Linked DNA regions of Rhinolophus ferrumequinum. The protein of the gene in region 2 binds, or shares a complex with, the protein of the main gene of each other region. Links are inferred from orthologs where the notes say so. Each region holds a gene or a part of one and is shown on either strand. Other genes may lie near its edges.

What was found.
Region 1: the proteins of PRKAA1 (region 2) and PRKAB1 are in contact, whole or in part, in a crystal structure (PDB 6C9H), measured with the Homo sapiens proteins. The link is inferred for Rhinolophus ferrumequinum from reciprocal best matches to the Homo sapiens genes PRKAA1 and PRKAB1. Residues at the interface, in NP_006242.5 of Homo sapiens: Gly20, Val22, Lys23, Ile24, Thr32, Lys40, Lys42, Asn59, Arg60, Ile63, Arg64, Val69, Ile72, Arg73, Ile76, Gln77, Val93, Ser95, Thr96, Pro97, Ser98, Asp99, Ile100, Phe101, Met145, Met175, Ser176, Asp177, Gly178, Glu179; in NP_006244.2 of Homo sapiens: Pro79, Val81, Arg83, Leu103, Pro104, Thr106, Val113, Ile115, Asp159, Phe160, Glu161, Val162, Phe163, Ala165, Leu166, Met167, Val168, Asp169, Ser170, Gln171, Arg201, Ala202, Pro203, Pro204, Ile205, Leu206, Pro207, Pro208, His209, Leu210.

Annotation. Positions count from the first base shown.
Region 1 is NC_046308.1:12,605,554-12,621,428, forward strand, and holds the start of PRKAB1 (5'-AMP-activated protein kinase subunit beta-1), read left to right. Parts: upstream 1-9,830; 5' UTR 9,831-9,940; intron 9,941-10,054; 5' UTR 10,055-10,142; coding exon 10,143-10,301; intron 10,302-12,624; coding exon 12,625-12,788; intron 12,789-13,991; coding exon 13,992-14,085; intron 14,086-14,354; coding exon 14,355-14,469; intron 14,470-15,875. UniProt on the Homo sapiens protein: Non-catalytic subunit of AMP-activated protein kinase (AMPK), an energy sensor protein kinase that plays a key role in regulating cellular energy metabolism.
Region 2 is NC_046290.1:27,133,707-27,150,547, forward strand, and holds the start of PRKAA1 (5'-AMP-activated protein kinase catalytic subunit alpha-1), read right to left. Parts: upstream 8,782-16,841; coding exon 8,655-8,781; intron 7,480-8,654; exon of another isoform or gene 7,359-7,479; intron 1-7,358. UniProt on the Homo sapiens protein: Catalytic subunit of AMP-activated protein kinase (AMPK), an energy sensor protein kinase that plays a key role in regulating cellular energy metabolism.

The DNA.
Region 1 (15,875 bases), on a different chromosome or scaffold from region 2:
AGGAATGGCACGTTGCTTTGCTTTTTATAACCCTCTGTGTTTGTGTAACCGGATCCAGAAACGACCGAGAGGGAAACTGCACAACTTGGACAAAGAAGCAATAGTTTCCGGAGTAATCACCTTACAATAAAATGGAAACGGAACTAACGCTTTTTAAAGATCATATTGTGCCCCCCCGCACAGTTCTAATTTCTTGGCAAACTGAAACGCTACTATTTATTGTCCACCTTTGATAAACAAGGAAACTGAGGCATGGGAAGGTTAAGTAACTCGCCCACCGGCCCATAACTAGAAAGTGGTAGAACTACGATTTGAACCTGGGTGGGTTAGCTCGAGGGCCTCGGCTCCCAACCATGGCAGGGCTTGCCAGCAGGCACCAGTTCAAAATACTCAAGTATAGTCTGTTGCTTTTGAACCAGGCTAGATCACTCTAGGACTTACTTCAGGCCTTCTCAAAATTCTCAAAAGCAATGTAGATACAATTATTCATGTCTGGTTTTTAGAAACACCAAAGGCAGATATGATAGTAAAAGTCCTAGTGACTGTGCTTCCACAAAGGTTGGCTCAGTCCAACTTTATTCTTCAGTCTCTATATTCTGCAATTCTAGACTTAGCTCTTTTGCCCCCCAAAAGCTGCTTAATCATTTTTTTAATGTAGGTAACTATAAAAATAATACTATGGCAAATATTATGGCTTGTTAACTGCCAAGTATTGTGCTAAGCCCTCAAAATACACTTTCACTCCACTGTCACTAATAACTCTAGCTAGAAACACTACTATTCATTTTTGCCTTTGAAGAAACTGAGGCACAGAGAAGTTCAATTACTTGCTCAAGGTCACACAACTGCACAGTGCTAGTATTTGAGTCCAATCAATGTGATCCTAAAATCCATGTTCTTAATCATTACACTTGACTAACTCCCATAAACCATAAACTGACTCTTATAGTTTATTCAAAACTAAGAAAAAAATAACAAGACTACTTTATACACAGAAGAGAATGAAATCACTTAATTGCCTGTTACCCATTTTCCCTAATTAGTTGTATGCTTGACATAAATGTGTGTGGGCTGAACTTTTGGGGGCAGATTTGCATTAATTACAACATATTTTCTGTTTGGAATCTTACCAGATATTTAAGAAGCTCTGAGGTCTCACCTCTATGTCTGAAATTTATTTTCAATAATTTATATCCATGGGAGAGAAAACAACTGCATTCCTATTGTTTAAAAATCCGAGCTAATCGGAGCGTATGATTTAGAATGCTCTTGGTTGCAAGCAACAGAAAATCGAATTGACATAAACAGTAAGAGAAGTTACCACTTTTCATAATGGGAAATTTCAGACTGAGGACAAACTTCAAGACTGATTTTCTCCAGCAGATCATGAAGTCAGCAGACTATGGCTCTGTTTCTCTTTAATTCTGTCAGTTCTGTTCTCCTTTGTGTATTATTCTTTGTTCTCAAACTGGTTTCCGTCTTGCGTGGGGGGGCCTCAAGGTAAAAAGTTTCCTCATTGATATCCTGGGAGAAGGAAGGCCTCTACCCCAAAATATCAGACAAAAGCCCCACTCTTCATTCTCACTGTTAATATCTACGTCATAGGACCAGGCCTGAATCCAGGTTGGCATATGCCCATCCCCGAAACAACTTCTGTAGCAAGAAGAATGGGGTTATCCAGTCAGGACCTGGAGTTGTTCAGTAAATATTAGCTCTTATTAATTTTATTATTATGAAAATAAGATTTTTTTTTGTACCCAGGCAAAGTATAAGTAGAATGATCAATAATGAAAAGTTGGTCCACCTTGCTCATAAATCAACACATGCATAGCAAAACAATGAGATACCATTTTTACTAGTCAGGCTTCCAAAAAAATTTTAGAAATGTAATAATGCTCAGTATTGACAAGGGTGTGATAAACAGTCGTCCCAAACATAGTTGCTGCAATATTTTTGGGGATAACTTTGATAATTTCTAGCAAAATTTTAAAGGTATGTACTCTTAGATCTAGTGATTCTATTGTTAGGAATTATTCCCACTATTTTGCTCACAAAACTACACTAGGAAATGTGGCTTAGTCAGGTTGCTATACAATGGTAGTGTTATTAGTGAAAGTCCAAGCTGAGAAACAAAACTTCCATCAAGAAAGACTGTTGAAGGGGCAGCCAGATGGCTAAGTTGGTTAGAGTGTGAGCTCTGAACAACCGGGTTGCCAGTTCGATTCCCACATGGGCCAGTGAGCTGCGCCCTCCACAACTAGATTAAAGGACAACAACTTGGAGCTGATGGGCCCTGGAGAAACACAAGAAAGAAAAGAAGGAAGAAACACAAGAAAGAAAAGAAGGAAGGAAAGAAGGAAGGAAGGAAGGAAGGAAGGAGGGAAGGAAGGTTGTTGAACTCTGGCTTCCAGTAACGGAGTAATTATAATGGACTGAGTCTGATGCCTATACAGCTACAAACTCAGGATACAACCTTTTTAAATATGGACGGCCTTGAAAACAACCAACAGCATGCAAAAACTGGAAAGGAAGTTCTTTCAAATGACCCTTGAAAAAAGGGAATCACCCACTGTCTTTTCTTTGAAGGGTCTGCATAGCACACAGAGAATAAAACTCAAGCAGAAAGCAACAGTCTTATTGGGCGGAAAAATCATAGGTTGTGGTTTGGAGCTCCCAGGGTGGCTGGAAATTGAGAGGAGAAATTCCAGAAAAGATAGAGACACAGAGCAGGGGCCCAAAAATCGGAATTTAAACTCCCCTCAAATCCTTGGCTGACTCCTAAAGTGTACATGTGCAGCCCAGCAGGGGGATAAAAAAAGCTAGAAAGTTTAAAGAAGTGAGCAGAGATTTCAGCAGCTGCTCATTGCTAGGGAGGCAGAGTTTGGAGTTCAAGTTCCACCAAATGAGAGGAGCTTGGTAGCCCCGGAGGTGAAAAACCAAAATTGACCCACACAAATGAAGCCTAAAATTATGCTTCCATATAAAGATGAGTCACTAGCAATTAAACTGCCAGGTAAAACAAAACCCAACACTTTTCTGAGTAAGATAACAGAACCCAGAGTCTCTGCAATACATTATCCACAATGTCCAGTACAAAATTTAAAAATCACTAAACAGGTAAAGCAGCAGGAGGGCATTATTGTCAAGAGAAAAAAAGTTAATAGAAACAGACCCAAAGATAATGCAGATGTTAAAATAAGTGGGCAAGTGCTTTAAAACAACTGATAAATATGTTAAAGAATCTAGAAGAAAAGATTAATATAGTGAGTGAAGAGATGGAGAATTTCAGGAGACATATGGAAACTAAGAAAAACTGGCAATCTTAGAACTGAGAATTATCAATTCTGAAATTATTTGTACGGAATTAACAGCATTTGCACAGTACAGAACAAAGGATCAGGAACTTAAAGATAAATCAATAAAAATTATTCAAACTGAAGGAGAGCAAGAAACCGATTTAAAAACAAAATAGAGCTTCAGTGATTTGTAGAACAATATCAAGCATTTGCCATATATGTAATTGGATTCCTAAATAATAGAAGAGAGAAAGGCAAAGGGGGGAGGTGAGAGGGGGAAAGGAGAGAGAGAATTTTAAAAATTCTTAAAGAAATATCAACTACATTTTTTCCACATTTTATTAAAAATATCAGCCCACATATTTAAGAAGCTCAAAAAACCCTGATCCAGATAAATTCATAGGAAAATACACTTATGCAAACTGCTGGAAAGCAACGACAAAGAAAAAATATATAAAAAGCAGCCAGAGGGAAAAAAGATACATTACATACATGGAAACAATAGTAAAAATAATTGACTTCTCATCAGAAACAATGGAATACAGAATACAGTGGAATGACAATTTTAAAATACTGAAAGGAAAAAGAACTGTCAAGCTCCAGTGGAAAATATCCTTCAAAAATGAAAGTGAAATAAAGACATTTTCAGCTAAACAAAAACTTAGAGAGTTGGTTGCCAGCAGATCTGCAGTACAAGAAATGCTAAAGGAAGTCCTTTGGGATGAAGGGAAATGAAACCAAATGGAAATTAGTGTTTATGAACAAAAATAAAAAGTACTGGAAATGTTAAATGTGTGAATAAATAAAAAGACAATAATCCTCATCAACATCTCAACAGGACTATTTGCAGAAACTGATAAGCTGAGTCTAAAATTTATATGCAATGGCAAAAGACCCAGAAGAACGGAATCAATTTTGAAAAAGAAGAGCAAAGTTGTAGGACTCATACTTCCTGATTTCAAGACTTACAATAAAGCTACAGTTACCGATAAAGTGTGATATTGGTGATAAGATAGACACAGCGATGAATAGAACAAAAGAGTTGAAAAACAGACCTGCACATCTATGGTCAATCGATTTTTAACAAAAGTGCAAAAGGAATTCAATGGGGGAAAGAATAGAGTGTTTTCAACAGATGGTGCTAGGAACAACTGAGCATCCATATTCCAAAAAATAAACCCCAATCCACACCTCACACCACACATCTAAACTGACTCAAACGGATCATAGATCTCAATGTAAAATCCACAATGATAAAACTTCTGAAGAAAATATAGGAGGACGTGGAGAAACTGGAACCATTGTGCACTGTGGGCGGGAATATAAACTGGGGCAGCCATGATGAAAACAGTACAGCAGTTCCTCAAAAAATTAAAAAACAGAATTACCATCTGATCCATCAATTCCCCTCCTGGATATATACCAAAAAGAACTGAAAGCAGAGCTCTGAGATATTTGTACACCTACGTGCATCACGGCATTATCCACAATAGACAAAAGGTGGAAGCAGCCCAAGAGTCCAACCATGGATGAACGGATAAACAAAATGCGTATACACACACAATGGAGAATTATTCACGCTTAAAAAGGAAGGACATTCTGACACTGCTCTAACGTGGGTGAGCCTTGATGGCTTTATGCTAAGTGAAATACGCCAGTCACAAAATGACAAATACTGTCATTCCACCTAGATGAGGTACCTGGAATAGTCAAACTCATAGAGACAGAAAGTAGGATAATAGTTGTCAAGGACTTCCGGGAAAGGGCAATGGGGAGGTATCGTGTAACAGGCACAGAGTTTCAGTTTTGCAAGATGAACTGTTCTGGAGATGGATGGATGGTGCTGTCGGTTGCACAACTATGTGAATGGACGTGATGCCACTGAACGGCACACCTAAAAATGCTTAAAATGATACATTTTATGTTATGTACATGTATTAATCATGTTTTTTATTTTCTATATTTCATGATGCTTTGACATCTTGGGGCCTCAGTGACCAGGGAGAGATCGCCCCTCCCAAGGTTAATCCACCTCTACCGATAGTAAATGACTTGCCTGGAATGTGCAAGCCAACCAATCCAGAGCCCATACTCTGAACCACCTCCTCTCTCTGGCTTTTACCCTCCAGGAGGCCTCTGTCCTTATCATCCCAGGGCCAGGTACCAGAGCACTAGGGACCACCCCGTACAGCCCAGAGCCCACCAAAATTATTCAGACTATCCAATCCCAAACGTGCTCAGCTGCTTGCCTTTCCTCGCCCATTCTTTTGCTCAGAAACCACAATGAGGGCTTTTTGCACATGCTGTCCCCTCACTCTGCCTGCAACCAACCTCAGGGTTCTCTCTTGTGGCCCTGAGAGGACTGGCATAACCCCCTCCTCCCGGGAACTGACAGGAATAAACTATCTTTTCAACAGCAGTCGTCTCCTGATCCATTGGCCTTACCACACGTGAACAAAATCAAAATCCCGGCTATATTTTACAGCAGCATATTTTAGCACAGTTTTTAAAAGATAAATACTTTTTTGAGAGTATTGAGAATATAGAGACTAAGTCACATTTGATACATGTATGCTACAGAAGTTTAGCATGGTAGTTAAAAGAGTGGAGACTCAGGAGTCAAGTCCCCTGCATTTAAATGCTGGTCCACCACATACTAGCTTTGCAATGTTGAGCAAGTTACTTACCCACGTGCCTTAGTTTCCTCATATATAAAGTGGGGATAATAATAGAATGCACCTCGTTGGGCTTTGTGAGGATTAAATGGGTTAAAACAAGAAAAGTGCTTAGGACAGTTCCAAGAATATAGTAAGCACTCTATAAATGTCAACTATTACTGTTATGGAGTCTGCAGCCATTTAAAAAAAAAGGAAGGAGATCTGTATGTGTTGACATGGAAATATATATTGAGGGGGAAAAAGTCCCAACTGTGTCCATTTTTTTTTGTCCATTTTTTAAATGAGAGAGATATAAGCAAACATTTTTTCTGGGAAAAGTTACATAATTATAACAAACGGGGCCCCCCAAAAGTATACTAGAAACTCTCAGGTTATTTTGGGGGAAAGGAAATAGGGATCTAGAATAAGGTGTTTTTTATACTTTTGTTTTTTATTCAACACCTCCTGTGCTACTTGAAGTTTTTACCATGTTTATTCATACCTAAAAATGTAGACATATAAGTTCTTGGAAGATCGTGGGAATATTTTTCATTGCTCTTTATTGCCACCTAGGGGATGATGGGGGCATTGCCTGCCACGATCACTATCATTGCTGTTAACCTTATTCGCTATTTAATATGTTATCCCACCTACTTGATTTAGTATCTTACACCAAGCAATTCATGACCTCCACCTTTCAGATGTCAGTGCGTTTTGTAAAAATTAGAAACATGGATCCATAGTTATAAAAGTCATAGATGTTACAACACAACAAAAAAACACATCACCTAGTTTGACTTCTTTGCTGAGTGACCATTCCAGCTTTATATTTATAATCTTAATCAGCCTGACCCATTGGCTTGCCCCAAATAATTTCACCCTTCACTCAATGTTCTATCCATAATGCCCACATTTCTGCATTAGTCTGGCTGCCTGCGTTTGAATACTGGTTCCCATGAATTCCTAGCTGTGTGACCTTGAACAAGTCACTTCACCTCTCTGAGCTTCAGTCTCCTCATCTATAAAATACAAGTGATAATAATAATAGATCCCTCACAGGACTCTTGGGGGATTACAAGTTGATATACCAAGCACAATGCCACACACATAATAGGGCTTGATAAACAAATTTCACTGTTAACACCTGCAGTCTTCAAATCTCAAATTAATTGTCATTTCCTCCCGGAAGCCTTCCCTCACTTCCTGACTAAGTCACATACCTCTCACTAGGTCATATTTCTCCTTCCTAGTATTTGTCACACATGACTGTTAGATGATTATACGACTAACGTATCTAACTATTGCTTCCCTACTAGATCATAAACACTACGAGCATGGAATGTGGGTCTAGTTTTGCCCATCATTGTATCCCCAGGTCTACCACAATGCCTGGCAGCTAGTAGTTGCACCATACATAATTACGGATAAAGAAACGAATTAATGAAGTTAGAAAACTGGAGGCCTCTAAAAATTAAATGTTAACTAGAACAAGTGTCATGACCCAGTTAGATTCTGATGGTTGGGGTGGAGGGGTCGTCTTGTTAGACAGTGTGCATAAAATGAATTGGAAAAGGATAAACTGTACACCTCTACCATCTGTCCTAGGACCAGCCCCGGGATGGTTTGTTTTACTTAATCGAGGCCAGGGCCACTGCTAGTGCCTATGGTGTATTTGTCCAAATTAGGAAAAGGCACCCGTTCCTCCAGGCAGGTGGAATCTCAGAAACTACTTGCCTCCTTGGGGAGGCGTTCCTATGCGGGGTACACCTGCACAGCCCCAGTTACTGGGCTGTCTCATTGGTTGAAAAAACACAGAAAGCATCCATGGGATATCAGTTATCTTATCCAAGCCAGAGCAGAAGTCTTGAAACTTTCTTCATGCATGAAAGCATCTGCATAGCTCAGATTAGGGGTGTACAGCTCATGTGTTCTTCCTTATCTCTCAAGTTGTGTGGGAGAGACCCCAAAACTCATCATTTTCATGTCCTGACTATTATGAGCAAGAAAAACAGCTCAAAGAATGCATCCTGGGTTACCCGTTGGCCTAGCCTGAGTCCCTTCTGGGCTCCCATAGAACCCCTGGCCTACCTGTATTATTGCCTTTCTGCGAGTCTATTTCCACCTCTACTCTATGGATCCTTCTCAGGCTGGAAACCATGTCTTATTTGGTCTTCTAATATTTGTTTTTAAATTACAAAAGCAGTATATCCTTAAGATAGAAAAGTTTTCAAATAAACTGAAGAGTGAAAGTTCCCTTTCTATCTGCTCCTTTTCCAATCCGCTTCTCTTCCCAGAGGGGACCACTATTAACAGCGTGTTGTACATCTTTCCAGAACTTCCAATTTGCCAACCATAATGAGGCCAATAAAAGTGCTAATGTTTATTGAATGTTTACTAAGTCGGGTGCTATGCTAGGCACTTTTTGTGCATGTTCTCAATTAATTCATAAAACAAGCCTATAAGGTTGGTGATATTTTTATTCCCCATTTCACAAGAGAGGAAACCAAGATGATGGTTACTAAGTGATAAAGCCAGAATTTGAACGGAGGCAGGCTGACTCTTAACCTCCACTTGCTTTTGGGATTTGGAATGTCATAGGCACTTCTCCATTATTACCCATGTAATCCTCTTTTCTTTTCCCCTCCCCTTTTTGTGATATTCTGTCTGCTTTATTTTTTTATTTCTTCCTTTTCAAAGCTTACTCAGTATTCCATAAAATGGAGTATTTAATTCATTAAGCCATTCTCCTGCTGACAAACTTTTTAGGATTTAGCAGCTTTTCACTTCCTTAATTCATCAAACCTAAGATTCCACTGATTGTCAGAAGCACCCAGTTTCAGAGAGATTAAAATGTGCATCTCAGAATTAATGTATTATGGCACTAGACACAATGCTACAAATGAACGCGCTTGCATATAATTTTCATGTGTTTCTGTAGAAGTTTCCTATAAATAAAATTGTGCACCAAAATAAAGGTGCATTTTTCATTTTCATAGATGCTGCCGAATTCCCCTCTAGGAGGTCACATCTTAGTCATTTGTGTCTCCCATTTACTTAGCACAATGTCTGGCACTTTGTAGGTACAAAATAAATGTTTGTTCAGCGGACAAAATGCATGACCAGGCCCAGCAAACGCAACGCATTTTGAGATACTCACAGGCAAAAACAAAACAAAACAAACAAAAAACCCCCACACAAGGAAACCATGACAGTGATAAGAGTAGAATATTTTAGTACCACATGTTTACACACTTGCTGAAGCACTGGCTACAGTAAATGACAAGCGCTAATAAATAAATGCATTTTATGCAGAATGATGTGTTCAGAGTGATTACAAAACATCTTGCAAAATTACCTCTAAAATGGCTGTGCACTCACTTTTTAAAAAATACACTAATAACTCCAACATTTTACAGCCCCCAAGCGAGACACGGGAAACTTCCAGGAATCTTATGGTCTGTCATTTTACACTCGAGGTGATTCTAAGGCACTCAACGGTGTGAGAACTAGCGCATTACAGGGCTTTAACGAAAGGAGTCTCTTAATTAGATTTGCCCTTTACAACGAGCCCTTTGGCTGTACAGCCTAGAACCTACTGGAAGTGGGAAAGACATCTAAGATCCCTAAATACCGTAGCATCACTCACCCCTGCGCGGGGAGGGCGGCCCAGACGGTCGGCGCGCTGGTGCGCCCCCTGCCGGCCTTCAGCAGCCTCGTTCTGGGTCGGCTAGGTCTGCCAACTGCGACTGCGCACTCCGAGGCCCAAGGAGGCCGCCTCACGGCGCCGGCGACCGCGCCAATCCTGACCGGAAACGGAAATAAGGGAGACTTAGCCTCATGCGCTTCGCCGGCCCAAACTATCCCGTGGGCCCCGCCCCTTTTCGGAAGTGCCGGAAGCGGAAGTTGCTAAGAGGTGGGGGGAGTTGTCGGGGAGACTGTCGGGTTATGTTCGCGCTCCAGGAGCTCGCGCCTCCGCTACCCGAGCAGGTAAAGGCACGATGGTGAAACCTTGCCAGTGGTGCTGATCCGGCTCAAACCGGATCCCGGCCAGGAACCCTAACCCAAGCGGTGCGGTACCCGGTGCTCCGATTCTTTCCTTAGGGTCCTTGTGACTCCCTGATTCCGGAAGTCCCCTGTACTTTGCCTGGAGTGAAGTCCGGCTTCCTGGTGTCCCGGTAGACCCCCCGCCATGGGCAACACGAGCAGCGAGCGCGCCGCGCTGGAGCGCCAAGGCGGCCATAAGACCCCCCGAAGGGACAGCTCGGGGGGCGCCAAGGATGGGGACAGGCCCAAGATCCTGATGGACAGCCCTGAGGACGCCGACCTCTTCCACTCGGAGGAAATCAAGGTGAGGAGAGGTGGGGGAATCCGATTCCCGCCACAACCCCTCTGAAACTCATCATCAGAAGTGGGAGGGAGGCGATACTTCACCCTCTGCGCTTAGAAGCCAGATGGCTCTGTGAGATCCCTCGTAGCCCGGGAGCCAGTGTCTAATTACCGATATGAGAAAATCACCCTGAGGGAGGAGGAACTGCGTGTAACATCATTAAGGAGAGGGCGGCTCTGGGACAGTTTCAAATTCTTAATTAAGATCGCGGAGCTAGCAGTAATAGCCCCGGTCTCTGCTTTTCTCTCTCGGGTATTCTAATTTGACAACTTTGAGAAACCGTCCCTCACCTTTAGGAAGACTGGCAGTTTTTGTAATAGTTGTTTTTGCAGTTTATTGTCAATGTTGGAGATAAACCAGAGCACCCACCAGAGGTGTTTAGTTCTGCCCAATATTTTTGGTTCGCCCTGCTTATTTAGAGCGGGCACAGAAAAGTCATTGGACTTCTGGGGGTCAGCGGGTAAGTGAAGTGTCAGTCTGAAGGAGGCGGCCCCTTGGCAATTCATCTTCTCTCCCCTGTTGTTTCAATGACTTAATATTGTAAACACACCAAAGCAAACATTTTTTGCTTGGCCAAATTTGAGCCTCCTGCGGCAGTCTGCGTTAACTTATCAAAAACTCTGAAGATGATTCTAGACTCCTGCTTCAGCCACTTTCCTGTTAACCACCTGATGTGGTCTGTTTCCAACTGGGAAGCCTGGTCCAAGGACACTTAATGATTCTGGCAGCTGATGTGTAATGTGGTGTAGCCTAAAAAGCAAAAAAAAATTCCTTAAGGACAATGCAACAAAGTAGGTTCAGGGAAAATGAAGGTGCATACCCACCCCTCCCACTCAGCCCAACACTTTCTCTGTTAGTATTCAGTTGTACACTAATCATCATTGTCCATTAATTAGGCTTATTGCCTGGCAAATCATTCCAACTTGACTCACACTTTTTCTTAGACGTTGGGCTGGGCGATCACATTATTTTCTTACATCCTCATTCGGCTCTTGGCTCTAATATAAAGAGTCTGCTTCTACTTGGCCTTCCATCCTGTGATTGAACTTCTTTCTGAACCTGTTGCATTCCTGAGGAGCTGTGTGCAATTGAAATCCTGTTTCTCCAACGACTTGACATCCCTTCCCTGAGAAATCATTTTGGCCCAAGGATGGCTGTTTAAAACATCATAAAAATGAAACTGTTTTCTTCAAGAAATATTTGTTGTTCTGTTGCTGTTCCAAAACTCCTCTAAGAAATGTTTAGCATACAGAAAATCTGTGGAGAATGAGTTTCAATAGTCCGTTATCATTTCCTCAGAAGTTTCTGAAATGGTGTAGCAGAGACACTGCATAGAATGCCCCAGATAGCCAAAAAAAAAAAAAAAGTCATGGATTCTTTTAACTACACTAGTTTACCATTTTGGCTGTGGTTAGTTAGCACATCCTCGGTGGAAAGTGATTCTGGTCTGTTATTCTTAAATCTGTAGGTCTTTTTTAAGCTCAAAGAATGCAGGCATTTTTTAAGATATGCTCAGGTCAGTATTTGGAGTAAAGGTGCTCGAAGGCTGCTAGGCACCTTCAAGGGTCTTTCCCATCCTGGAATTCCTGCTGTTTTAAAGTCTTTGCCTTCTGATTCGGAAAAATGTAAAAGATCCAAAGCCACATATATTTCACCCCGAGTTGAACGTGTTTATTTCTCTTATTCTGGAACACCTCAGTTACACATCACTTCCTACCCTAGAAGTTCCTTTTTAACCATAATGAAGGTCAATCTTTGTCTTAGTCTTTTTCTCCAGCGTGTGGACGACACTCAGTGAATAGTTTTTCCCTTCCTTAGAATCTGGATTTGCCAATTTTCAAGCTGACACCTCTGGAATTACCCCTCATAAATTTTCATGTACTTCAAATCTTGCCTAATAAAGGGAAGAAAATGACCTTTATTAAGCTAGTTTTGAATTCATTGCAGCCTTCTTCCAAGTGAGTTTTATAGTTTCTCCTAGAATCTTAAGGTAGCCCTCTTTTAGTAACAAGAGTAGCTAATAATTTGTAACACACTTACTATGTGTCTGATACTATGCAGAGCATTTTGTGGACTTTCTCAATCTTCACAATAATCTTAAATAGTTTCTGTTATCTCCATTTTGCAAGTGGGGAAACTGAGGCACAGCTGGTCAGTGAACAAGCCTGAATATGATCCTGTGCAGTAACCACTGCCTCTTTAAAATGAATTGTCAGTGTTGGGGTAACTGTGTAAGGAGCTCACTAACGACTTCCTGTCCCCGAGTAAACTGCTCTATTTCTAGGCTCCAGAGAAGGAAGAATTCCTGGCGTGGCAGCATGATCTGGAAGTGAATGATAAAGCTCCTGCCCAGGCGCGGCCAACTGTATTTCGATGGACGGGGGGCGGAAAGGAAGTGTACTTATCTGGGACCTTTAACAACTGGAGTAAGCTTCCCCTCACAAGAAGGTAATTGGCCCGGGGAGTATACATGTCTTAACCCAGAGATAATTCTGTTTCTAAATGATCTCTGCACGTGGATGGAAAGGGATGTTTTTATAAAATGAATGCTGAATGGAAAAATAATCTTGCCGAATAATTCATAGGGTTCAGATCCCACACCCATAGTACTCTCTAGGTTTAGAGCACACTTAGAGAAAACATCTCTTGGTTACAAGTATTTCTGTTTCACAGACATCTTCTGCTTCAGATAGTCTGCTGTGTGTTTGTTCAGGCAGGACTTGTTCTTCAGAGAGAGAGAAATCTATTCCTAGTATAGTGGAGAGAGCACCAGGCTGGGATCTTCGAGGCCGGGATTTGAGTCCACATTGGCAGAGCTAAGCTGAGCCTCAGTGTTCCTATCTGTAAGAGGGAATATTGGGCCAGGTGATCTCTGAGGTTCCTTCTGACTTTGAAAGGTACATGTTACGTAGGCAACGTTAGCAGGACTACACAGTAAAACAACTTAGTGGGAAGCCTAGCATGGACTTCTGTCTGAAATTGTCAGTGAAGGAGCATCTTCACTAGTGAGCACTTTGAGGAAACGGAGAAATCGTTCCCTGCTGGGCCAGGCTTGATCATTGTCAGGGGCCTGCCTGCTTTTCTAGCGCTAACGTTAGTGTGGAGGGAGCTGCTGGGTACAGTTACAAGTCACTTCAAGTCAGGGCAACAAAACAGTCAAATGGAAGAGGTTTTCTGGAACCTCTTTAGTAGTTCTGCCAGCTTCTTTGGAGAACTATTTAATGTGCATCCATTAAATTGATCCCCTCTCCTGCCCAAGGCAAACTGACAGGGTAAAACTTGGCAGCAGGCCGTTGATCTTGTGTTGCTGGCCTCCTTGGCATCCAGTCTGCCAGGTGGTGGTTCGCTTGCAAGTTGACAAGGACAAGTAGCTGTTTGTTGACCTTTCGATGTGGATTGACCTAGGCTTGTGGGTTCCTGGTAGTGAAGCAAAGTAAGTTTTCAAGAAAATCTCTTGCATTGCTGCAGCTTTGTACGTCTTCTAGATTGAGATCATTTTATTGAGATGTCTGAATTGGTTAAAAATGTTTATTCTCCTGCAGCTGAACTCTGGGTTTTACGTGGAATAGTTTTGTTCTATGGCTGGTTCTGTAAGTAAGCTAAGGGGGCAGCCTGCCCCGCTGAAAACCTCCGCTTCCTTTTTCCTCGCAGCCACAATAACTTTGTAGCCATTCTGGATCTGCCGGAAGGAGAGCATCAGTACAAGTTCTTCGTGGACGGTCAGTGGACACACGACCCTTCTGAGGTACTCTTCCTCCCGCCCTCGGTCTGTATAAGCCAAACAAGTCACCGTCCCGTACAGATCTTCGCCAGGTCCCTTTGTCCTGCTGGGAAAAGTCCCTGTGTGGCTGAGCTAGACAGCAGCGCTGATTGTCAGACCCCTGGCATACTTGCCCGAGAGGGGCAGGTTGGCTAGCCAGGAGCTGAGCCCCTCCAGCCCGGAATTATAAGTCCTCCAAAGAAAAACCCAGAGGCCTTCCACGTTATGACGTCTGCCTGTCTGTCTCTTCCCAGCCAATAGTAACCAGCCAGCTTGGCACAGTTAACAACATCATTCAAGTGAAGAAAACTGACTTTGAAGTATTTGATGCTTTAATGGTGGATTCCCAAAAGTGCTCCGATGTGTCTGGTATGAACAGTTATTTTATACCACGTGTGTGCAGGTGGGGGCTGCGCAGTCTAGACATACTCTTGTTTCTCTCACCTCTCACTCTTGAGCTCAAGCTGCCCAATCGGGTGGACGTCTGTAGCTCCCTAAAGTGCCACAAAACTGATTCCTAACTGTGTCAGGTCAGGTCGTTGAAATCTAGCCCTGAGGGGGTAGTGAGTCCTTTTGGGGGGGGTGAAGGGGGCATCTCCAGTATTCAGAGAGCAGACCATTGAAACGGAACCAGAGCTTGGTCTCGGGCCGGGTCAGGGCCCAAGAGGCCCGGGAGTGGCCGTGGGTCAGTGGTGAGCCAGTGCTGGGAGGCCTGCCAGCTCCCTGCCTGCTCACAACCCACTCGGGGTACTCGGCCTGACGGGTGATAAACAGACACCTGTGACCTTGGCCGTCACTTGTGTGGTACATTAGCACCTTGTTGGGAGAAAGGCTCACCACGGAAAAAGGCTACATAGCACAGCCGGCTCAGTGCAGGCCTCCTTAAACTTCCTCCTCTTTTAAGAGTCATCCAATCACATACCTTCCAGTAAATTGCTTTCCATCCAAACCCACAGGAAGAAACTGCCTGGAAACATGATACGTACAGTTCAGGGGCAGGGATGTGTTGTAATCTGAAGTGTCAACAGCAGTTGCACTGCAGGGTTTAAACAGTTCTTGCGGGGGTTAAGCAATTCCTGGACCCCTATAGGAGGCAGGGCAAAGCTTGCCCAGGACTGCCTGCCAGTCTAAGGAAATGGACTCAGTTGAGTTTACAGGATGATTCTTCAGTGTCACCTGGCTAGCCCTGGAGGTTCTGCCAGCAGCATCCCTTACTCTTCTCAGCTCAGAAATCAGTGGGAAATCGACCTTGGTGGGCTTGCTGTGGCTGACGAGTCAGGTGGTTGAGTAGGAATGCCAAAAACCACGTTCTTCTGTCTGGCTAGTTGCCTAATTTTTTAAAGAAATCATTTCTTTCTTTTTCAGATAGGTGGGCATTGAATAGAAGAAAGGCCCAAATATCCTCTACTTACCGATAAATATAATTTGAGGCCATATACCAAAGCTTTTAGTCACATTTCTGCAGCATAGATCACCTGGGAAAAGAAAACTGACCCCTCACTGCTGGCAAACCAATTTCAGGCTCTCTGTAGACTTCTGAAAAGACACTTTCTTAAAATGTATATTTACTCCTAATGGCTCAGTTTTCTGCACTTCATGCTTTTCTCAGTTTCCTGCTGTGATACGGTTGGGTCATGTGAAGGGAGCCGGTTCTCTAGAAAATGATGTGGAAGGAACTGGCAGAGCCGGGCTGTGTCAGATTTATTCCAGACAGCCCAAGGATCAGGCGCCCAGCCCCATCCTAGGTGTCCTTGGACTAACAGCTCGGTCCCTTC
Region 2 (16,841 bases):
CAACAGCAACTGTAAAGAGAGAGAGTTCAAATGCATACATGAAGACACTGAGAACTAAATAGATAGGATAGTGATTAGTTTGTTTTTTTAATGAGAAATTAGAACACTAATTCCTTTTTCATGGCTGGGTAAGCCAAGAGAACATTTTGAGGTAGTAAAAGGGTAGTCAATGTCCTAGAATAGCACTAAGGGTGGTATTTCATTTTTTTTAAAAAAAGGCAATTTTAAAGCTTTTATTTAAGTGTGTTTTTCCGGGACCCATCAGCTTCAAGTCAAGTAGTTGTTTCAATCTAGTTGTGGAGGGCGCAGCTCACAGTGGCCCATGTGGGGATCGAACAGGCAACCCTGTTGTTCAGAGCTCGTGCTCTAACCAACTAAGCCATCCAGCCACCCCTAGATATTTTTTAAAAATATAAATCTAGGTGATATGTTATACTATATTGTAATTTAGGTATAGAATTTACTAGTTAATATTCATGACATACCCACTTCGCACATACCAAGAGCTAAATAAGTAACAGCTGTAATTTCTATGCCTCTAGCTCCCATTCCCACAAACTTCAAACCCCCCAATCTGTTCCATCCTCACCCTTCCAATCATCACCAATCCTGAGAATTGTGGCTTCCAAAGTTCAACCCATCTCCTGACTTTTTCAACAGATTACTACCGCTAGACACAGATACCCATAGCACCAAATCCTTGACAGGGATTTCAACTACTACCTAAAAACTCTATGAATACTTGGTCAGAGGAGAGCACAGAGGCAAAACACAGGTTCATTTACTTGAGTATAAATTTTAAATGAAGACTTTTTAAAAATTTAAATCTAGGTGACATATATTATACTATATTGTAATTCAGGTATACAATTTACTAGTTAATATTCATGACATACCCACATCGTACCCAGGTGTATGAGTAACTCTCACTAACCCTGGAAGATTGGTATAACTAGCAACACTTTACAGATAAATGAAGCATAGGAAGATGAAATAATTGCCCAAAGTTACACAGCTAGTGACTTGCAAAGCCAAAACTTGAATCTAGGTCTGTCTCAAAAACTTGTGCTGTTTCCAAAAATAGTAAGTGAAATGTGGTAACTTTCTAAAAAAGACAATCCTCAAAAGGACATTATACAGTTTAGTAATACAAATATAAATATCCTTTTAATAAAACAAATAGAAGTTAACATATTAGAGGAATCCTTAAGTTATAGTCTTGTAGTTCAAAAAATAGACTGAATTCCCCTATACTAATAAGAATTATTCTAAAAATTGATTCATTCGTTCATTTAAGAAACTGTTGTTGAGTACCTGCAACTATTATGTGCCAGGTACTGCTACTATGACCTTTTTCCCATATGAGAAAATGAATCCAGTCCACTAAAAACCCACCTTATGTCAATGTCAGTATTTTAAGACAAGATACCAAGAAGACATTGTATCCATTCTATCAAACCAATTTAAAAGTTCCTCAAAACTTAAGGCATTATTAAGGAGAAATGAAGAGCATAAAATTATAAGCGTACAAAATAGAATGGCAAGTGTAGTGGGGTGAATAGTGTCCCCTTCCCCCAAATTCATGTCTACCTGGCACCACCTCTGAATTCAATCTTATTTGGAAATAGGGTCTTTGCAGATGTAATTAGTTAAGGATCCCAAGATGAAATCATTCAAGATTTAGGGTGAGCACTATAGCTAATGACTCGTTTCCTTATAAGAAGGGGGGGGGGGAGAGAGAGAGAGAGAGAGAAAGTGGCCATGTGATGACGGAGGAAGAGACTGGAGTTTTGCTACCACAAGCCAAGGAACACCAGCAGCCACCAGAAGCTGGAAGAGGCAAGGAACCAGATTCTCTCCTAGACCTTCAAAAGGACTGTGACCCTGCTAACCTTGATTTTGGACTTCTGGCCTCCAGAATTGAGAGAGAATAAATGTGTTGTTTTAAGGCACCCAGTTTGTGGTACTGTGTTACTATAGCCCTAGGAAACGAATACAGTTAAGTTTATCAGTTTATAAGTGAGTTTTCTAAAATATGATATTCACCATTAACAAGCAAACAAAAGTAGTAGTATTTTTGAAAACAGGTTTTCTATACTGTACTACACATGCCTAAGTATTCTTCAATGGAACACACTGTACATGACGCCAGAACCAAGCAGGTGTTCAGCGTGTGTGAGCATTAGTTACTCCCCTGTGCCCTCACCCAGTGACATCCATAGGAGTTACTTACCTGCATAGGACTTCTCGCTCCTAGACTATTACTATGTTCCAGCGTGTGGTGTTCTGCTCTCTGAAGTTGTGCCTCATCATTCACAGACTATCAGGAGTCAACTCTTACAGCCCCCTCTTCAGTGTTCTAATTTGGGGATTCTAATTTTCTATGGGCTAGAAAAGTCATAAAACTAAAATTATAATAGATTTTCTAAAGTATGCTCTACCAAACACTAGTACTGGAAACTCCACAGAAAAAGATTTCATCATCTTTTTGTCCTGGGAAAGGACTTACGTCCTGGGAAAGGACATACGTTCTCTTTTTTGGAAACTCTCACTATGCATATTAACACAGTAAAGGCTCTGAAAAGCCCCATAGTAGAGAATCCTGTTAAAATTTGTTTAACCTGGTATTTCCCAGGCTTAATTGGATACAGGTTTTTCCTTCCAAGGTTTTCAAATGTCCCAACATTGATGACTACAATATTTTCTTTCAGTACAGGCAGTATCCCTCTGACTATTCTTTTCCTCCCTCTTTCTTCCCAGCAATCTTGGTAATTTAAGGCCATCATATGATGATAATCTGTTATGTTTTCCTTACTTATAGGAACAGAAATATTTGCCTTGATCCCAATTACTAAAATATTTCAATATTAGAATTCCAGTAGCATAATACTTTTGAAAATACAGTGTCTTATAGCTCAGGAAACACACATTATCACATTTGAGCCTCACAATAAACCTATGATGCAGGTAATATGAGACAAAGAGAGATGATGCAATTTGTGGAGGTAAAGCTATTAAGTGATTCCGTTGGGACAGGTTTTCTGACTCCGAGTCTTCTGACCTATCCACTATACCCGACCATCACTGTGCACGAGAGGGGAAAAAGGGCTTGGCACAACAGCAACACCTGAACTCTTTCCTCAAAACTACACTCAAGATTCTCCATTGACTAAACTCAGCTGCAGCCAAATTAATTGCTGTTCCACAGTCAATCGATGTCGTAAATGGACTTTGTCAGGAATATGCATTACTAAGAGAATTCCCCCTTTTCCAAAACTCAAAATTGTATTCTGCACACTGTGACTGTGACAGCAGTGCTAAGGTGCTACTTTTGAACGAAATAGAAGACAGATACTTCTGCCATGTAAGATCTGTATATCATTCATAGGAAAAGCTACCAGAATTCATCACAGCAGATTAGTCAACTAAATATTAGCTACCGTGTTTACCCGAAAATAAAACCTAGCTAGACCATCAGCTCTAATGTGTCTTTTGGAGCAAAAATTAATATAAGACCTGGTCTTATTTTACTATAAGACCAGATCTTATATAATTAATATAATAAAGTATAATATAATATAATACGGGGGGAGGAGGGAACACGGTAGTAACAACCTGTTCTTGCTCTCTAAAGGGAACTTTTTCAAACTGTAAAACATTGTAACAGATGCTTTTCTAATCAGATATGTAATCCTGAAGTGAAACAAGATCATACTTTGAAAGAGAGGATTTTAAATAGTAAAGAGATGTCACAAAGACAAAAATATCTACTGAAGATATTAAAATAACCTAATGATTTCATTCCCATTCTAAAATTAAAAGAATACAAATCTCACTTATAAAAGTATTATGGAAAACACAATCCTGGAGAGGAGTTAAACTTTAAAAGCTATAGGTGGAAATTTGAGCATGCTACCTTTTCTTAACAAAACATTTCAGGCATCCCAAAAGGCAAACCAAGTACCCATGTCTCACCCACCACTAGCTTAAGCAACAAAACAGTATAAATATAACTGAAGCTCAGCAGGACTCTTCCCAGATCTTTCTCCCTCTTCTCTCCCCAGAGATAACCACTATCTTGAATGTGGTGTTTGTCTTTCCCACAAATGAATCCATAAACAATACAGTAACATTGTTTTTCATATATTTATGTTTCTAATTTAATTTTCTGTATTCTTTTGAACACATAATACTTGCAATACACAATTCAAAAGTACAAAAGGATATACAGTGAAATATACCTGCTACCTGGTTCTCTCCTGAACAACTAGTGTAACAGTTTCACGTGTATCTTTAAAAAGACACTCCATGCAGTTGCAAGCAATTACAACTAGATACATATTTGCCCTGCTTTTTATATATACAGTAAGTATACTACACACACTATTCTACTACCCCCTTATTTTTCCTCTTTAAAATACACCTTGGAAATTACTCTCTAAATATATAAAGTATCTTGCTTTTTTTCCTTAGTTTCCAAAGTATATCACGGTATTAATAAACCATAACGTAACTATTGTCCTATTAGAAAGGTTACTTCCAATCGTTTGCATGTATAAACAATATGGCAACGAATAACTCATTGTTTCACAAGCATGAATGTATCTTCTCCCTCCACCTGACAGGGGTATCCTCCATTTTAGGGGCCATCAATTTTATTACTACAATCATTAACATAAACCCCCCCCCCCCCCCCGCCCTATCTCAATACCAAACACCAATCTTCGCACGGTCTGTCCTAATTATAGTTGTACTCCTTCTGCTATCCCTTCCCATCCTGGCCGCCGGAATTACCATACTACTGACCGACAGCAACCTAAATTACTACCTTCTCTGACCCCCTCAGGAGGAGGAGACACTATCCTGTACCAACATCTGTTCTGATTCTTTGGCCACCCCGAAATCTATATTCTCATTTTACCCAGATTCGAATCATCTCCCACATTGTTACCTGCTACTCAGGCAAAAAAGAACCCTTCGGATACATGGGTATGGTCTGCACTATATCAATCAGTTTCCTGGGCTTTATTGTGTGAGCCCAATAAATTCCATGAGTAAATTCCTAGAAGTTGAATTAACTGGGTTAATTTTAATAAATACTTTCACACTATCGAGGCAGTACCAATTTATACTCCCACCAGCAATGTATGAGTGTTTTTGCATGTTTTTTAAATATATATGAATAACATGACTGTACATATTCTTGTACTTATGCTTTTGTGGCCTAACCTTACATACTTGAGATTCACTCATGCTGATATATATATAGCTCTAGTGCATATACAGATGTTTTTAATTAAAGAAATGTGCAAATAACTTCCACTGTGATTCATTCACAAAAAGAACAGTCACCTATTTACCTGAAATTGCAGTTTTATGTAGAAATACTCACCAACTTAATAGGTTCTATGTATAAACAACTTCTTTGCCAAAGACCACCCACCCTACTAAAAAGACAGCCTTCTCTTCTCTTGGAAAATTAACCAAAAGTGCCATTTTAATTTACTGCAGTAGTCACAGGACTTTGTTCATTCATGCTTTTGTAACTGTTCTACCTGGGAGGAAAGGGGAATGGCCCAGCACGAGAGTAGAGACTAACACCTTGACAACCAGAAAAAAACAATACCTTAGAAGTAAAACAGGAGAATTCAAGCATAATTCCAAATTAACCCTACTTGTCTGTTTAAACTTTCCCCTCAAAATGTTATTGTTACCAAAGGATTTTTTAAGCCTGTAACAGGAAAAAAATAATCACTATGAATTTACAGTCCACTCCTTCCCAAAAATTAAATTTCCTCTAAGCGTGGACTATTACATTGGGAATTTTTCTGTATTGCATTATCACATCTAGATTTCTTTTCTATGATTAATTCACCAATATATTTAGTTTTAAAAGCTCTATCTACTCCAAATTGTCTCCATTGAAATATATGGCTAATCATATTAGTCATAAAAATTCTTACCAAATTAAGGCCAGTGTAAGATACCAATGTCACCAGTAAACTAGCTAATTTTGTCTGCTCACTGAGCATCTATGTACCCGTCTCTCTCCTAATAATTAATACCCATTTCTGTGTAGGTATCTATCCTGTCCCCTCACACCATCCAAGTACCTCAGAAGAAGATGCCCTTAATAATACTGAATGTCAACTGCAACTGAAAAATAATTTTTTTTAAATGCCCTCCCCCCAACACACACACACATATATCCAAGAGTGGGCCATATTCCCCCAAGGGTAATTCCATCTCCCTTGCTAGGGCCTACTTAGGAACACAGGCCTAAGCCATTGGCACAAGGCATCCCAGGCCAGAGGGACTGGATAAACCAACAAGACTCATGAGAGGTACGCTGGGACTTCCTTGCTCTGGAGAGAACCAAGGGAAGAGATTTTCTTGGCTAGGTTGAGTTGGATTTTCTATTACGTGGGGCAAAAAGCATCCTACCTATTTAACAACTTAAAAAATGCACTGGTTGAGGATTTTGACCGACATCAACTAATGTATTTATGAACAAATTGAACCATACCTACGAAACCTATGATCCTTTGACTACTGTTGTCCTTGCTACATTTGGAGAGGTTGCTGACTTTGACAGTGTGTGGGACACTTCAACAGAGGCACATGTGGAGGAGTGAAGGTTAAGGAACAGCGGTCACTGGAGGGATTCATGTCAAAGCCACATCACAGATCAAATCCAGAAAACAAAAAAATTTCCTCTTGCTTTCCTATCTGCCATGCCAAAAGCCACCTAGCAAAAAAGAAAATGAGACCTGACTCTGCTCAGATCTGTATTAGGAGAATGATGAGCATCCTAATCCAAGCAGAACTCTGGGAGGGGTGGACATCAAGATTGTCATCACTATGTTGCGGGCATTAATGAGCATTTCTTACAAATACCGTGTTTCCCCAAAAGTAAGATCTAGCTGGACAATCAGCTCTAATGCGTCTTTTGGAGCAAAAATTAATGTAAGACCCAGTATTACATTACATTAAAGACCTTTATAATATATATTATAGTGTTATACCTTTATATAATATGTTTTATCTTTATAATATATAAATACATTATATATCTTTATTATATAACATAATATAATATAATATAATACCGGGTCTTATATTAATTTTAACTCCAAAAGATGCATTAGAGCTGCTTGTCCAGCTAGGTCTTATTTTGGGGGAAACACAGTACCTACTTGTAAATTAAAAGAAAAGTTTGGAAACGCTAACATAAAAATAGAGACAGCACAGCCAAAATAAGTAACTTCAAGGACACAGAAACATCTTCCTGACCTAATACAGACCCACCCTAATGGTTGTGATTACCCTATTCTGGCATTTGCTTCTTACTTTCTTACATTGTAGGCCTTGCTGATTTTTCACAAGGTTTAGGCAGTTGCTTCCTGTGAGCTATACAGCAATTTTCCAGTTCTATGACTCAGAAAGGACAAGAGAAGGAAGGGTTCTCCTCTTCCATCCCTAGATAAAATCAGAAAATGTTTATTTAGCTCTGGTAGAGCAAGACTAATTTAATTCACTGTACAGATTTTCACAAACTTTTTTTTCTTTTAAGTATTTACCTAGCGCTTAGTATAGTCAAGTCACACACTATTATTTATTCAAAGCCTTTCCATGAATTATTATCAGCTCCGTATTTCCTTCCTTTGCATCATCCCTAATAAAAAAGTCAAATACCTAAAAAAATTATGCGTCACAAAGTTTGCAATTAAACCTGTGCCACAATTGGTAGATTGGAGCAAGTTTGCTATTTTCAAATACCGTGTTGAAACACAAGGGTAAGAGAGTCCACACTTTTCTTAAAAAAAAAAAAAAAAATCAAACGATGTGCACTAAATTGTTCATTAAAATATAAATACCCCGTGAAAACACATGGAAAGGAGCTGCATTAATGAACTAATATACTATCTGGAGGCAACATCTGCACTAACTACCGGGTTTGGCATACAGACTGCAAAACTGGTAATTCAGACACACTAAAGGCACGGAGTCTGCATTCTGAATATAAACCATGCATCACAAGTATTGGACCAGTTTATGTTCATTAACTGCTCCGAAAAAAATTAGTTATCCTTTCCGACAAGATGGCTTTTTTTTTCTTTTTTTTTAAATGATTCTCTAAGCTACCCCGAGACTTTGGTGCTAACAGATTTCACACTGGAGAATCAGCCTGAACAGGTGAGTAGACAGCCTTTCTAAAGAGGACAGAAATAAGGACAATGCTAAAGAATGCCAGGGAACCGATGGGCTGGTCCTGAGCGGAGGGAGAACAGCCTCTGTTCCCCGGGGCTCTGGGAGGAGACCCCGACGCCCCCACCCAGCACTCGGAGCGCGCCGCGCAGCCCCCGACCGCCCACCTGAGAAAGTTCGCACCTCCGCATCCCCGCCCCTCGCACGGACCAGCCCCTGGCGCCGCCGTCGCCATGGTGACCGGTCCCCACCCCACCCCCACCCGGCCCGGGAGGGCCGCGCCGCAGCCCGGCGGCCGCGTTGGGCTCCGCTCCCGCCGGCGGGAGGACCGGGGCTGCGGAGCCCGAGACGAGGAACGCAGGGGCCGGGGGAGGATGAAGAGGTGTGAAAAGCGGAAGTCGCCTGGGTCCTGGGATTGGGCCGTGGCTTGCCCCGGGGGTCCTCACCCTTCACTTTGCCGAAGGTGCCGACTCCCAGCGTGTCCCCCAGGATGTAGTGGCCGATCTTCACCCGCCCGTCGTGTTTCTGCTTCTCGGTTGTCGCCATCTTTCTCCAGGAACTGAGTCTGCGCATGGCGCCGCGGGAGGGGGGCGGAGGGGGCGGGCAGGGCCGCGCCGGGGGCGGGCGGGCGGCCGGGCGGGGAGGGGGTGGGGACGCGGGAGGGCAGCCGCGCCGCGGAGCCGCCGCCCTGCGCAGCCCGCGGAGGCCCCGCCGCCCGCCGTCGGGCGCAGACGCTCCCCCTGGCGGGGCGGGAGGGGGTCGCTAGGAGGGGCACCGGTGTCCCCTTCCTCGCCCTGCATCCCTTCGGCCTGGGGCGCCCGCCCACCTGCGCGGCAGCCCCCTGGCTCCTTTCCTCTCTGCGTCTAAGTGTTACTCTGGGTGGGGGAGCCGCTCTCCTTGTGATTCCAAGCGGGAAGATGGGCACGGGGAAGCCCGCTTGGGTAGGGCAGATGGACGGCTTGTTACTCGTGCAGCGCGAATTGGAACCTGGTTGGAGATACCGCACTGCCACTGTCGTCAAACCTTTTGGTTTTCCCTTCGCGGTGGGATCTAGAAACCTTTGGGAGTTGTCACTTGCATCTTTGATAGTTTCCATCGCCTCCTGTCTTCCCTCCCTCCCGGTCTCCAGCGTCTCTTTTTATTTTTACTGTGAACCAGAAGTTGTTACTATTGGGCACCTGGACAGCTCAAGTAACGTTGCCGGTCTCTCTTCCTGCTGGACGCTTTCCTGAAATTTCCTCCCCAAAGCAAACTCTGTCGGAAGGAACAGGTTAGGGATACGTATTTGTGTTCGGGGCCTGAGATGTATAGGAATTACTATTTTAGATTATCAGTAAAATACAGAGTTGAACTGAACTGAAAACAAGGATTACTGTTGCATCAACCAGATCAGTTGACAAATATTTATTGTACTAGAAATGAGTAAGATTTAGTCTATTATCAATACAAATGGGATCACGCCATATCAGAGGGGAAGTTGAGAAAGTATACTTATTTGTAATAGAATTTTTAAGTGAGTTTGTTAGTCAATTATAATCCCCTAACATGGACAAAAATCAAGTGCCCCCCCCAAAAAAAACAACAACAACAGTTTATAGGATCTCAATTTTGCAGTGTCATAGCATTTGGGCTAGTGTCAGGCAGAGTTGAACTCATCATGAAAATAGTATAAAAAGTAAAAGACTAAAAATATCACCTTTTTTTCTAGTGAAAGTTACCCAACTCTCCTGATTTTTATATACTTTCTGTTTATGACATCAAAGTACCATGTTTTAACTGCTTTGATCCAAGCAAGGTGCTGCAGGAGAAGCAAAAGCATTTGAGTTTAGAATTACATAAAATAAGCAGAGAACAGTTACAACTCTCCTTGGGTAGATCATCAGTTCCTACTCTACTATGAACAGCACATATTTTGAAGGGCAAAAATGTTAAGAAATCTTTGATGTGAGATTTGGGGCGGGGGAGGGGTGGGCAGGCAGTGGTTACTGTTGTAATTTTTGCTTTCTGGTTTCTTCACCTTTACCCATTTGCCTTGAGAGTTTCTGCAGCTCAGGCTCTTTGGATAGCTACAAAGCAGAAAGAGATCTCTGGATTCTCTTAGAGGAAAAAACTTTTAAGTTTTCCCACCAGAAATAGCATCTTAAATTAACTTTAAATTTGCATCATGTCTAGAATTTAGCCCAGCAAGTTTCTGTTATTTCTTTTAACCTAAAAGGGAAAAAAAAAAAGGTATCTCAGCTCTATAGGGTGCCAATTAAGCCACAGAGCATCTTACCAGGGAGCAAATTGAAGTTGAATTTTGAAAACCCACTGCCAATATCTTTATGAAACTTTGAAGACCCAATTAAGAAAGTAATATAGACTATATTTTAGCAGAAACATCAGTTTGTTTCTGCTTTTGTATTATTTTAGATTATAATTCTATTTAATAAATATTCATTAAATACCACTATTTACTCAAAAGCATTGTTGGGGGAAACAAAACCTAAAATCATAGATCAAAGAATTGAATAGGAACTTAGAAGCCATCTTATCCAATCTCCCATAGTCTGTTTAAGCAACTTTTATTGCTGTTTCTTTTTTCTTATGTTGTGTTCAAAACTGAATCCGGTTAACAGTTTCTAAGAAAGTAATGAGCTGCCTTTAATCCTTTGCTTTATCTCTTTCCTTCATTCTTTTTTAAAAATTGTTGTCACATTTTCTTCCACTCTCTCTTCCTTTAATTCTCCCATTGATCCATTGTCTAGACCTTCATTTCCTTCTTTTCTCCCAGCATCTGTTAACCTCCAGACACTGTGGACAGATAGAAAATGAAAAGTCATGTTCCTTACCCTGGAGGAGCTCATAATCTGGGATGGCAGTTCCCCCTCCCCTCCCCAAGGATAGATAATATTCACATGTTCAACATTTTCCAGGGTAAAAGCAAAGATAAGGTAGACTGGCTTACACCCAGTTTCAGGACCCATCAGTTGCAGCTTTGCCACTATCGAAGCAAAGTATATTGGAATGTAAGTGGGCAGGAGTGACATTATAGAAGTAGCCTTGAATCTACTCGAGTTTAAGAGGAGGGGAAAAAGTAGTTTTCATACTTCAGTACTTCAGCTTTTATTAGCACAAATAAGTTGCAGTACATCACAGTGCTGATGAAGACTACCAACCAGGTGGACCCATCGCTGGTGGAGAACCTCCGGTCTCGGAGGAGCATTAGTTACTTGTCAGCTGCTTGCTCTGTAGCCCTTCAGAGATTCTAAGGGAGATGTGAGTCCTTAGTCTTTTCTTAAGACTGTCACAGTGTTAGTAGACCCTGCACTGTCAAGTGGATATTACACTTCCTCAATGCCTATCTCTAAACATGGTGTCCAGAACTAAAAATTCTGAGAACTACACTGCTTTTAATGCAGCCTAATATTTCCTTAGCTTAGTTGTCATTACATTGTAACTAATATTTATTGAACAACAACCAGGTAGGCATTAGGCAGTTTGCTCGACTCTGAGGACTCAAAAAGCAAAGGTTCACAGTATCTGCCTCCAACAAGGCAAAGCAATATCATAGGTGCTATAATAAAAATATATATGTATGGTCCTAAAAGGGCATTATGAGAGGAGGGCATAACCTTTATCAGTGGAGGTCCACAAAAGTTTGAACTTGAATCCATTTAAGGGAGTATTTAGACATGGTGCTTTGTACTCAAGGAAAAACGTGGTATGGGGTATCGGGGAACTTGGAGGAAGCATCCCAAGTAAGGGGACCAACATATGCAAAATCACAGGGAAGGAAGTCTTAGGCTTTGTGGAGAAGAGCAAGTGGTTACAGGGGATGAAATCTGGATGTACACAGCGACTCCTTAGAAGAAAGGAGAGGTAAACAGAACTAAATCCTGAAAGGCCTCATGTGCGCTTCTCAATTTGGTCATTATCTTACAGTGATGAGCCATGGGAGGATGTGAAGTCAATGCATTTTAGAAATACATTCTTTACCAAAGAAACTGATGGCTATTGGTGCCTTTAGCAAGGGAACCTGGGTGACTAAGTCCAGCACAAGGGGCAGACTTTCCTGTGTATCCTTTTGCAACTTTTTGTTTTCAAACCTTATGAATATATTACAGAGTCAAAAAAAATTAACTTTAAAAAAATATATTTTTAAACTCACTTTGTATGGAAGATATACTGGAGAAGAGCAAGACCAAAGTGGTGGTAAAACAGGAGACTTGCAATCATCGAGTGAAGAAATGAGGAGGCAAGCACCACGTATGAAAAGGAAAAACTCTAGGAGTATTTAGAAGTGGAATTAGCGAGGTACAGAGATTGATGTGGACAGAGAGAGAAAGGAAGAAATCTTAATTACCTCCTAGGATTCTGGAGAGATTGTTGGAAGGATGGGAAATAGAGGGGTTCAATAGAAATAATGAATCCATTCATAACGTTAGGGCATCTAAGAGACATTCAGGTAAGGATATCCAGGAATATACTCCAAAAAACCGTCAGTCTAGAGATACACATTGGGTATCATCACCAAACAAATGGCCGATGAAGTAGGGCAATGATTGAGGATGAGATCTCCCCGGTTTGTAGAGTTAAGGGATCCAAGGACAGAACACTTCCTTAGAGAACATGAATAATTAAGAAGATCTGCAAGCAATATAAACCTATGGAAGACACAGAAAAAAAAAGTAGTCAATTTATGTTTGAATGTCCCCAAGAAGTTACAGTGATTACAATTAGTTTGTGGATAATTGTTAACTAGGGTAGATGATTCCTAACTCTTGGTTTGAATTTTTTTTTTAGGTTAAAACGTTTGCAACCCCTTCATGATGACGAATTTTAAGCTTCAACCTTAATGGTATAAGCCCAGAACTGTTTTCTGGGGAAAATCTTAGCACTGTTCACAGACTCCCTTGGACTATCTCTATCTAGGTGGGTGTAGTTGGTTGGTCCCGATAAGGTCCTTGTAATAAGAAAATGTCAACCCTGCTGTCTCTCAGTTGATTCACTGAGTATCAGGCACATTGATCTTTGTTGCTCTATTTTAAGGGAAATAGATGGAAGGGTAGACTGATAGTCTAAATTGTACCCCTGGATCAATTGAGATCATGGGTGGGGGGAGAGATAATTATACTGCCCTGTTTCTGGTTGCTGTTAAACATGCTTTTACTCAAATTGGTAATACAAGGGGTTGATAAACATCGACACCTTGAACAGGCTAATAATTTGGCTCTCTATTCAGACTAGTAAGTTGGTCCCCATCAAAACAATATTCTTGAAAAATTTTTTCAACATTTAAGTTGAAAGAAAGAGGACTGCTGAAACAGTGTACCAGGGAACAGACACTGTGGTGACCAGCCCTGACTTCTTGGACAGCAGTAACCGGCCATCTAAACATGCATTTTGTGAGGTGGGAGGTCTTATCCCACTCCAGGTGACTTATCAAAGTAGTTGTTTTTAGCCACATCCTTCCGAGCAGACCTTGGATAAATGAAAATTCGAGTTATGCTTTGGCGCTTCAGAGATGTGTGGTCTCCCTTTCTAGACTGGCCCAGTTTAGCTCCCTCCAGTCTGCTGCTGCTGCTCTGTCCTCAGTGCAGGAGTCCACTGAGGGTGCTGGAAAAGCAGACATGCAAAGCAGCCTTACTTTGGCTCTCCCCAATTTACAGCCTACCTCTAACAAAAATGAACCTGCTAAAGGCATGTGTTTTAGTATTCCAATCTCATCCCTGTATTTATTGTATTTTCCTTCCCCTAAGTTCCTTATTTCCTCATTTATTTATTTTGCTGGAATTATTACTCTTTAGGTTTCCCAGATACTTTTTGTTTTTTAAAAGACTATTTTTTAGAACAGCTTTAGATTTATAGGAAAAATGTGAAGATAGTACAGAGTTCTCATAGACTTGGTTTCCCACATTATCAACATCTTACATTATGTGGTACATTTCTTAACAATTAATGAGCCAATATTGATTTGTTATCATTAACTGAAGTCCATACTTTATTCCAATTTCTTTAGTTTTTGTCTAATGTTATTTTTCTGTTTCAGAATCCCATCCAGGAGCCACATTATATTTAGTTGTCATGTCTCCTTAGATTGGCTCTGATAATTATTCAGATATTCCTGGTTTTGATGACCTTGATACTATTAAGGTGTATTGGTCAGGTATTTCGTAGCCCCATCCATACTAATTTAAATATGACTTCATACTGATCCATATAACCAACTCTAATCTATTACACATAGATTATTTTAGCCTCTTCCCTTAGCTTATTTGTAAACTCCCACTCTAACAGGAAGAAATCTAGCTTCCATTATCTAACATTCATTTATTTAATTGTTCAATTTGAGTATGTATTTGCGGAAGTAACAGAATTCTTAACCTTACCCCTATGGATAACGATTTTATCAACTTGAGTCCAATGCTTGATACAGATCCTCTTGTCTTTTATCTTACAGACCCCACTCATTTCCAAGTGGTAATCTTGTACTCCACCATTTTCTTAGGTAAGCACGTATTCCCTCCACCATTTTCAGTGAGGTGGTTTCATACATGTATAATTCAAATAGATTATATTGTCACAGTCTGCATTCCATCCTAGGATCCCCCAACCTCTGTTTTAACTGCCTCCTATTCACCTTGTTGGTGAAGGAGGAATTCCCTCCGTAGGGTTATGAGGGCAAAACACACAATACCCAACACAGGACAGATGATATCAAATCTTCTGTCACACAAACATCTATTGGTCACACAAACTCACAGCCTAGGGGAAGAAGGCAGTACATATCACTCAGGGCCACATGGAGGTTGCTCTCAGGATCAGAATGAACAACCTTGCAGTATCAAGAGGGTGGGCTGGCCCCTGGTTCCTGTAAAGAATGTGATTAGCTGTTTGGATAATTCTACAAGCTGCCAGTGAACTGAAACCCACTACTCAGGGGTTAGCAATAACTGTGCCTGGTCCGTTTGGTAAGGAGGGTTGTATAGCTAGAGAAACTTACCTATGCGAGCAGAGTTGGGAGGGGTATTTACAGTTAGGACATCCTAGGCTCTACCAAGTTTTCCAATGTCAAGATAACACATAATATGGAGTTTTAATATTAGGCCTTACACCACAACCTCCCAAATGATTTATTTTATTTATTTATTTTTATTGGGGAAGGGGAACAGGACTTTATTGGGGAACAGTGTGTACTACCAGGACTTTTTTCCAAGTCAAGGTGTTGTCCTTTCAATCTTAGTTGTGGAGGGTGACGTTCAGCTTCAAGTTGTTGTCCTTTCAGTCTTAGTTGCAGAAGGTGCAGCTCACCTCCAGGTCCAGTTGCTTGTGCTAGTTGCAGGGGGCACAGCCCACCATCCCTTGCGGGACTCGAGGGGTTGAACCAGCAACCTTGTGGTTGAGAGCCCACTGGCCTGGCTCATGTGGGAATCGAACCGGCAGCCTTCAGAGTTAGGAGCACGGAGCTCCTACCGCCTGAGCCACCGGGCTGGCCCCCAAATGATTTTTTAAAATTTGCATGCATTAAGTTTCACTCCACGCTATAAAGTTTTGTGGGTTTTGACAACAGTACAATGTCATGTATCTACTATACGGGATCATACAGAATATTTCACTACCTTAAAAAATATGTGCTTCATATATTCAACCCTTCTCTTTTCCCTGTCTCTCTAATTTTGCCTTTTTCAGAATGTCATATAATTGGAATCATACAGCATGTAGTCTTTACACACTGGTTTCTTTCCCTTTGCAATATCCATTTAAAGGTTATCTATATCTGTTCTATGACCCTTAAATGCTTTTAAATAAGGAAAATCTAAAACATTTTTAAAATTAAGGAAGGTTGGTCTCCATTGTAAAATATTTTCCTCAAATATTTTAAAATATTTTATATTTCCTGAAAGAATCTTACAATGATACAGCTGTGTTACAAGTTATGTTAAACATATCAAGAGGATATACTCTGAAAAACTGAGCCGTTATATAGCTTTAGTGGTTTCCTTCAATAACCAATAAATTACATAAGAAAATATTTTGATTTTTTTCTTTTTCAGTAATATTATTCCTTACATATGTAATCAGTACATATTATTAATTTAATCTATTTCTCCTACACAGAGCAAAATATTTAAATTCAGGTACACTATGAAACATATAGAGCTTTTAATTTCAGAAATTAAATTGGTTTAAATTAAATTAAATTGGAACTCCAAGGTTGTTCATTCATATGGAAATTTTGTTTTCTTCATGTTAGGAATTTGTTCTAACTCTAGTATATTTTATTTTTACTAAAATGGTTATAGATTACTTGACTGAAATTTTAACATGGAGAATCTTCTAGTTGCTTTATTGGATTATATACATTATAATTGACCTATACTAAAAAACTTTTTGTTTTGTCTGGAATTAATACTTTGTCATGTTTTTTTCATTTGCTTAGATTTCTATGTACTTATCACAAATTCAACCCAAACTTTTCCTAAAATCTCTCAAGACATTGAAATACATGAAGTGTGTAATATGCAGAAGGTGTTAATACATTGTCAGCAGATTTTATTCAGGTTGATCTGACAAAGAGCTCTAAGCTGTGTTAAAACGATCTTTGGTAAACTTCAGAGAGAGGCCTGTGATTTCTCTAGGGTCAAACTCCT